Arabidopsis thaliana: one gene and its partner. The protein of the gene in region 1 interacts with the protein of each later gene in a pairwise test. Each region holds a gene or a part of one and is shown on either strand. Other genes may lie near its edges. The genes, in order: GMD1 and RPT2.

Region 1 (3,930 bases):
ATGGGCTGATTGGGTTTGGGGAGTGGAGGATCTGTAGCACTGGACTGAACCGAAACAGGTACATTATGTGGCGCAACATTTCCAGGCATGGGAGGTGGGTTTCTGTCCATGGTTGTGGAGGTGACATGTTGAGGAGCAAGTCTAGGTTCGGTGATGTCAGTGTTTAGACTGTTATTTGCAGTTTCAAGTGGTTTACCTTTCATGCCATTGATCAAGTTCTCAACGATTTTGGGGTCACTGAGTAACTTGACAAGTAAATCAGGATCGACCTGAGAGCCCTGTTCCTTAGTTAAGGCAGACAAAGCTGCAGAAGCAAGAAGACTTAACTCTGGTCCAAGTCCAGAAACAGCTGCAGGAGCTTCGAAACTGTGGGAAGATTCAGCAGCAGCGTCACGTTCATCTTCAACGTGAGTGAGAGGGATATTAGGAGTTTTGCCGTCGTCATAGTGTTCTTCTTCAACAGCTAGTGTGAGCGAAGGACTAGAAGAAAACAGAGAGAATTTGATAAGTGGAAAAACATGACATGGCACAAAAGCAAATCCTCAAATGATAAAATTACCGAGAAGGGATCACAGAGCGATGTGGATAGAAAGCTTCCAAGACTTTAGAAATCCTAAGATTCTCAGAACGAGTCTCGATGCTTTTTCCACCACTCCCAACAAGCAAAGCATCATCGAGGACAAACTATTTTGGCGGCGAATAAAGAAAGACAGTGAGAGTTATATAAAAACAAGAAGGGTCACATTGTTTGCAATTCAAGAAAAGAATTATACCAATGGTGGGCGTTTCCATTTGATCCGAGGAATGTGTGAGATGATTCGCTTCGTTGCATAATCAGTAGCTTCAAAACCAGGTGGAAGATTCGATGCAACTTTAACGGGACAATCATCACTAAGAAACAACTTTACCTGTCCAAATCCTTTACTTAGTTAGTAACCAAATGCGTGTGTACTCAGCAGCCACAAAGTCCTTTTTTTTACATGAGTTATATATATAAGGGGAGTCCTACATGTTTCACTATTTCAGGAGGAACACAATCTTTCTAAAATTAGTGACCACATTGGTACATTGTTCTTCTTTTTTTTTGGGATTTCTTGCTGTTTATGTCCCTACTATGTAAAGAAGATTTCATAACATCAAGTCATCAACATTCAGGCACACAAAATTAATTAATTAGATTCGCCATTACCAGAAAAAAAAAAAAAAAAAACGTCATCTTATTAAAGTTTGTTGCTTTGACGGTGACTTATGGAAAAGGTTTTATCTTTGTGTAAATTTAAAATTAAGAATAATTAATCAAAAGCAATCAATCAAAATCAATTCGTTTGTTAACTGTCCGATTCCAACTTTGATAACTGGTAAGTCCGAACCGAACAATTACAAATTTGCAGGTAAGAGAAGAATAAGGAACAAGATTGGGTCGACGAAGAAGACGACGGGTTGGCTATACCTGACAAAGCATACTATCTGATGCCCACGATACTCTCCCTTTCTTCGTTTTCTTCATCATTACTATTTCTCTTACAAAAATTCAATCGCAAACTCTTTCTAAAGTCTATTCACTAACCACTTTCTCAGATTCTATACGAAACGAGAAATCAGATGTTAGACCAAACTCGACAATGAGAAAGACAGATATGAATAAGAAGAGAGGCGTCGGCGATACGTTTTGTGTTCTGTGGGAGAGATAGAACAGAGAGAGAGAAAACCCTAACCACACTTTTTATGACTTTTTGACTTTCCCAGTGGAGAAAAATAAATACTATCAAATAGAGAGGCGCTGATTGGCTCCCATTCCTAATCGTTTTTTTTATTACTTTCACCGATTTAATTTCCACCACTCATATTCTTTTAATATTCACAATTACTCCTTTTAACGTTACGTGTTTTTTATTTTTACGCTTTCATTTTTGAATTTTGAATCTAATAAATAGGACATGCAAGTTGAGATCGTGTGGGGAAAAAAAAAAATCAATGGTTATTATAAGGCCGAGTATAATATAACTAAATGGGTTAACTTAAGGCAAATTACTAAAGTCCACAATGATGTTTAGTCTGAACGCAACCCGTAGAGCTATATATATATATAAGCCCAATAAAATTAGCAGTAATTTAAAGCCCATCTTGGCCCAATAGATAGTAAAATATTCGTAATCGGTCAACGCTTGCCGGCGATTTGCCATACAAGTACAACTTTACGTAGCCATACAGATTCACCTTTAAAGTTTACAGAAGTAACCCTCTCTCTCTGTCTTCTTCGTCCTTGGGCTTTATTATATATAAGTCATCGAATCAGTTGACGCTAAAATCAAAAACAGAAAGCGCGACGTGCCCAATCATTTCTTCTGATCCGATCTGACTCTGCACCCACCCATCAATGGCCTCCAGATCTCTCAATGGCGATTCCGACATTGTGAAGCCGAGGAAGATTGCACTGGTCACCGGAATCACTGGCCAAGATGGATCTTACCTGACCGAGTTCCTGCTCGAGAAAGGCTACGAAGTTCACGGCCTCATCCGACGATCCTCCAATTTTAACACTCAGCGACTCAACCATATCTACGTTGATCCCCACAACGTCAACAAAGCTCTCATGAAGCTCCACTACGGTGATCTCTCTGATGCCTCCTCCCTCCGCCGTTGGCTCGACGTCATCAAGCCTGACGAGGTCTACAACCTTGCTGCTCAGTCCCACGTTGCCGTCTCCTTCGAGATCCCTGATTACACTGCTGACGTTGTCGCTACTGGAGCTCTTCGTCTCCTGGAGGCTGTCAGATCTCACAACATTGACAATGGCCGCGCCATCAAGTACTACCAGGCTGGCTCTTCGGAGATGTTCGGGTCAACTCCTCCTCCGCAGTCAGAGACCACGCCCTTCCATCCGAGATCTCCCTACGCTGCGTCCAAATGCGCTGCTCATTGGTACACAGTCAATTACCGAGAGGCCTACGGTCTGTACGCCTGCAACGGAATCCTCTTCAACCACGAGTCACCTCGCAGAGGCGAGAACTTCGTGACTCGGAAAATCACTCGGGCCTTGGGAAGGATCAAGGTCGGATTGCAGACCAAGCTCTTCCTGGGAAATATACAGGCTTCAAGAGACTGGGGTTTCGCAGGAGACTACGTGGAAGCAATGTGGCTGATGCTGCAGCAGGAGAAACCAGATGACTATGTGGTTGCAACTGAGGAATCACACACCGTCAAGGAGTTTCTGGACGTGTCTTTCGGGTACGTGGGGCTCAACTGGAAAGACCATGTCGAGATCGACAAAAGGTACTTCCGGCCCACGGAGGTCGACAATCTGAAAGGAGACGCAAGCAAGGCAAAGGAAATGTTGGGGTGGAAGCCAAAAGTAGGGTTCGAGAAGCTGGTGAAGATGATGGTGGACGAAGACCTTGAGCTGGCCAAGAGGGAGAAAGTGCTCGCCGACGCTGGTTACATGGACGCTCAGCAGCAACCTTGATATGGGGAGGTGGCAAAGAAGAGTAATCATTATCTGCTTTTTCATTGAAATGTAATTTTGTTTCATTTGTTGTTGTTCTCTTTCGTTGTTTCAAGTTGTTCAACTCCATACACTGCCAATCGTCCATTGTGGATTTTGTATCAAAAGGCAAACAAAGCATATTTATTACATATGAATTTTCCCCTTATCAGAACAATGGTTTCTTACTGGTCACAAGCGATTGTACAAATCGAAAAGCCTAAAGATGAAATGACAAAAGAAAACAATGATTTGTAACAAAAAGATCAATCAATAGCATCATCATGCATCTATGCAAAATCAGAGGAGATCAGAAAGTATGCTGTAGAACTACACGTATTCGATTCACCAATCTAACTACCATTAAGAGTATTTACTCTTATGCCTCGGGTTTAGAAGACAGAGTTGTAGTAGTATTTATACTGACCGAATCGGGAGATGCAAGAGAA
Region 2 (3,930 bases), on another chromosome or scaffold:
GGTTTAGCCGCTGTGAGGTCGGGACCGTTGTTAATTATTGTAACACCGCATAATTACATAATAATATAAACTCGCAAAATAAAAAAAAACCTATGAGCAACTATATACATTTATTTGCAATATGAGTTTTTAGTAAAAAAAATTACTTATATATATTAGGTAAAAAATTTTGAGTTTTTTTTGCATTTTACTAAATGTATATCATGGATATGATCTGACTAGAATTAGCTCCAATGCCTTTTTTGAATTCAGGTGTGTAGAAATTGCATATCCTTAATCAGAAAATAGCATTTTGGTTCTACTTACCGAATCAAACCAAAATAAACCACAATCCTATATGTCAATCCTCTGGATGTAATTAACCATTATGATCGAAATTGTTGATTGAAACTAGACGGCAATACAGCTCAGGGTATTTGTACTTTTGTTAATAGATTGATAGCACCATCCTCTTATGGTCCAACCTATTTCCTAACATGAATTTTTCATCTGAATAATTTAGACTTGTATTAAGACCTTGCCTTAGCACCTTTTTACAAAATTTAATTATTATTCTCTCTGAATTAATGAAATTTATATGTATATCGCCTACTCATGATCTAGTGGACATCTACTGTTTAGCTAATTCAATATTTTACATTCGGATATTGTGTTTTGATGCAAAACCAATTACAAAAAAGAAATCTAGGGTTTGGAAGTTTTTGCATTAAGATTTAAACAAAAAGTTAAACACCTCACAAAATTTATCACGATACTAAAATAATTTTCTTATCAAATCACATGTTACTATGTCAGCCGGAGAAAAAAGACTCACATGACATATTATCACATCGATTCACAGAAACTTACATCAAAATAGAAAAATCACGAAAACTGGTAAGGGTTTTTAACTTTTTATGAAGACCCATTTTGTGAATCTTCACATTCAAACTACAAATAGTCTTATAAAACTAGTCGCACCGGCAGAAAATTATTAGGGCAACTAGGCAATGTAAGAGACGTGAGATATCTTTAAAGACGATAGGAACACGTGTATAAACATGATTGGAAGACAAAACTGAAACTGGATTCTGATGGATGATTTGACGACGTAGCTAAGCCAAACACCACGAGGTTCTAAGATGAAGCACGACCACATATTTGGGGTGGGCCTTATCTATGACATGTTCCTACTTCCCTAACTTCCATGGTCCTACTTCTCTCTAATCGTACATCCACTTTTAATTTCGTTTCTTATCTGTCAATTATTCACATGCGTTGCTTTTTTTTCTATATTCATAGCATTGTCTTCCTTTAATTCAGAATTTTTAGGCTTTTAGCATGTGAAACTTTAATTTTGCTATCATATTCTCATTAACCAAACCAAAAAGTAAGATTGTTTTTTTCTTTTTGAATGAGCCACTCTACAAATTGTTGCCAACAACCAAATATATGAATGATGATTGGTTCTCACTAATCATTATACTTTATAAAATTTTCTAATCATCACCATATGCATGTTATGAAATCAAGAATTTAGATCCGTTCTGTACTTCTGGTCTGTCACACACTCACACTTTGTCCCGGCTTCTATGTCCTTGTACGATGAGATTGCTTACACATAGCAGCTTTATGATAAGAAAGATTTTCATGTTCGTCATATTACTATAATCATTGTTATCCTGCATGTTTTTTGTAGTCTTTTAACCTTGAATATCACTGTAACATTTACTAAAATAATAGTTGATAATTTGAATGTAGTTAGCCAAATATCAATTAGTAAACGTTCACTTTTCTTTTAATTTTAATTTTAATGATAAATAAATACATTTACTAAATAAAAGCGTAGTAAAGCATGTTACTTACAGAGATATGTTTATTAATGTTATCTACAAATCACCAAGATCGAGATCTCTGTTAGTCTATTATCAAAAAGTTGGTGAAACATATATCGGTATATATGTGGAAGGTCTAAATTACATAAAATAGCCGTCGATACAAGTACATATCCAAATAGGGAAAAGTTAAAAGGAAATGGTGAAAAGGAAAGTAAACGACGAAGACAAACACAAGGATTAGAGTGAGTTAACTAAAAGAGATAATAAACACATCAGAAAACGACAAATAAAAACTTAGAAAAATAAGATAGAAGAAGCCAATCACAAATATTATTACATTAGCAATTGGGTGGATTGGGGGGACCCATGCTAAAGAAATTTCAATATATAGACACTCTCCAATTATGCTTCCATCTCCTTCAATAGAGAACCAAAAAAAATGGCAACAGAAGGAAAAAACCCCATCAACATGAACTCTATGTCTTCAAGTCTTGCAAGAACCGGTCAATGGTACGAATCAGTCTAGTTTCACCAATAGAGTCTCCCGGCGCGAATCATCAGAAATTTTAACATGTATATATGTAACTTTGTAGGGTTTTTTCTCAAGATATTCCGACCGATGTTGTTGTTGAAGTCGGAGAAGCCAATTTCTCTCTTCATAAGGTAAGCAACAACTCTTAATTCTTGGTTCACAACATTTTTCAATACAAAAAAGGATTATTTATTTTTCATATACTCATGAACTAGGCTTGAATAGAGTAATAATAGGATGGCGAGATTAGTACAAACCATTAGCTTACATGTTTTTAATTACACAAAATTTTAACTATAATTTTTCATGATTGTATATATATAGTTCATGTTAGTGGCTAAGAGTAACTACATAAGGAAGCTAATAATGGAATCCAAAGATAGCGACGTGACAAGAATCAATCTCTCGGATATACCCGGAGGTCCTGAGATATTTGAGAAAGCTGCCAAGTTCTGTTACGGTGTTAACTTCGAGATCACCGTTCAGAACGTGGCGGCTCTTCATTGCGCAGCCGAGTTTCTTCAGATGACCGATAAGTACTGCGACAACAACCTTGCTGGTCGGACACAAGACTTCCTTTCTCAAGTAGCTCTCTCTAGCCTCTCTGGAGCTATCGTTGTCCTCAAGTCTTGCGAGATTCTCCTTCCTATTTCTCGTGATCTTGGTATTGTCCGCCGTTGTGTCGACGTCGTCGGTGCTAAGGTATTATTTTACTCAGAACTCATTCTCACTTCTTTGTAAGTGTTGGATCTCCATTTTGGCTAGTGTTTATGTTTTTCTTTTCTACCTATGTAGTAGTAACTGCAATAACCCAATCTAGTAAGTTAGTACAGTTTTAGGTATGTTTTTCAATAAATGGCAAGAATATCTGGTTTAGTTATTCCATAGGTTTCAAATACAGTAATAGTTTGAAATTGATTTTAAAATTTCATCTATCAATTTTCCTAAGAAAAATCAGTTTGAGACCATTGTTCTTCACTTCTTTTGTTCTAGTGTTTATTATTAAAAACAAAAATCTATTTTAATATTAAAGTTTAGATCTATGATTACTGTTGTCAGACTATGATTGCGATTTAGATTCGATAGGAATATTTCATATTTAATTCGGTTTGGTTTCCGAATCTTAAATTGAGCAAATCATACTTCTACCCTATTCCAGTTCCGTGAGACTCAAGTATAATATCTATGTAATGCAAAATGAATTACGAGTTTAATATTTTAACATCCATGAATTTTTGTAATGCTTGGTTACAGTATCTGATACGTTTTTTATATCTATTTCTTTTGATATTTGAAAGGCTTGCAACGAGGCAATGTTTCCATGTCGAACACCACCAAATTGGTGGACAGAGGAACTCTGTATCTTAGACGTCGACTTCTTCTCCGATGTCGTATCTTCAATGAAGCAGAGAGGTGTCAAACCTTCTTCCTTAGCCTCTGCAATCATCACCTACACAGAGAAATCCTTAAGAGATCTCGTCAGAGACCATTCAGGCAGAGGAGTCAAATATTCCGATCCCGGAGATAACGAATCCGACGAAAGATCCCAACAGAGAGATCTTGTTCAATCTATCGTCTCTC

The links.
Region 2: the proteins of GMD1 (region 1) and RPT2 interact in a two-hybrid assay, tested with the Arabidopsis thaliana proteins (one large-scale study listed by BioGRID).

The regions. Positions count from the first base shown.
Region 1 is NC_003076.8:26,474,057-26,477,986, forward strand, and holds GMD1 (GDP-D-mannose 4,6-dehydratase 1), read left to right. Parts: upstream 1-2,109; 5' UTR 2,110-2,377; coding exon 2,378-3,463; coding exon of another isoform or gene 3,464-3,575; 3' UTR 3,576-3,698; downstream 3,699-3,930. Other genes in the region: AT5G66270 (Zinc finger C-x8-C-x5-C-x3-H type family protein), read right to left, coding at 1-480, 560-684, 774-908, 1,451-1,510; AT5G66290 (uncharacterized protein), read right to left, coding at 3,240-3,575, 3,909-3,930. UniProt on the Arabidopsis thaliana protein: Catalyzes the conversion of GDP-D-mannose to GDP-4-dehydro-6-deoxy-D-mannose.
Region 2 is NC_003071.7:13,003,900-13,007,829, reverse strand, and holds the start of RPT2 (Phototropic-responsive NPH3 family protein), read left to right. Parts: upstream 1-2,083; 5' UTR 2,084-2,256; coding exon 2,257-2,327; exon of another isoform or gene 2,328-2,410; coding exon 2,411-2,480; exon of another isoform or gene 2,481-2,673; coding exon 2,674-3,051; intron 3,052-3,647; coding exon 3,648-3,930. UniProt on the Arabidopsis thaliana protein: May act as a substrate-specific adapter of an E3 ubiquitin-protein ligase complex (CUL3-RBX1-BTB) which mediates the ubiquitination and subsequent proteasomal degradation of target proteins.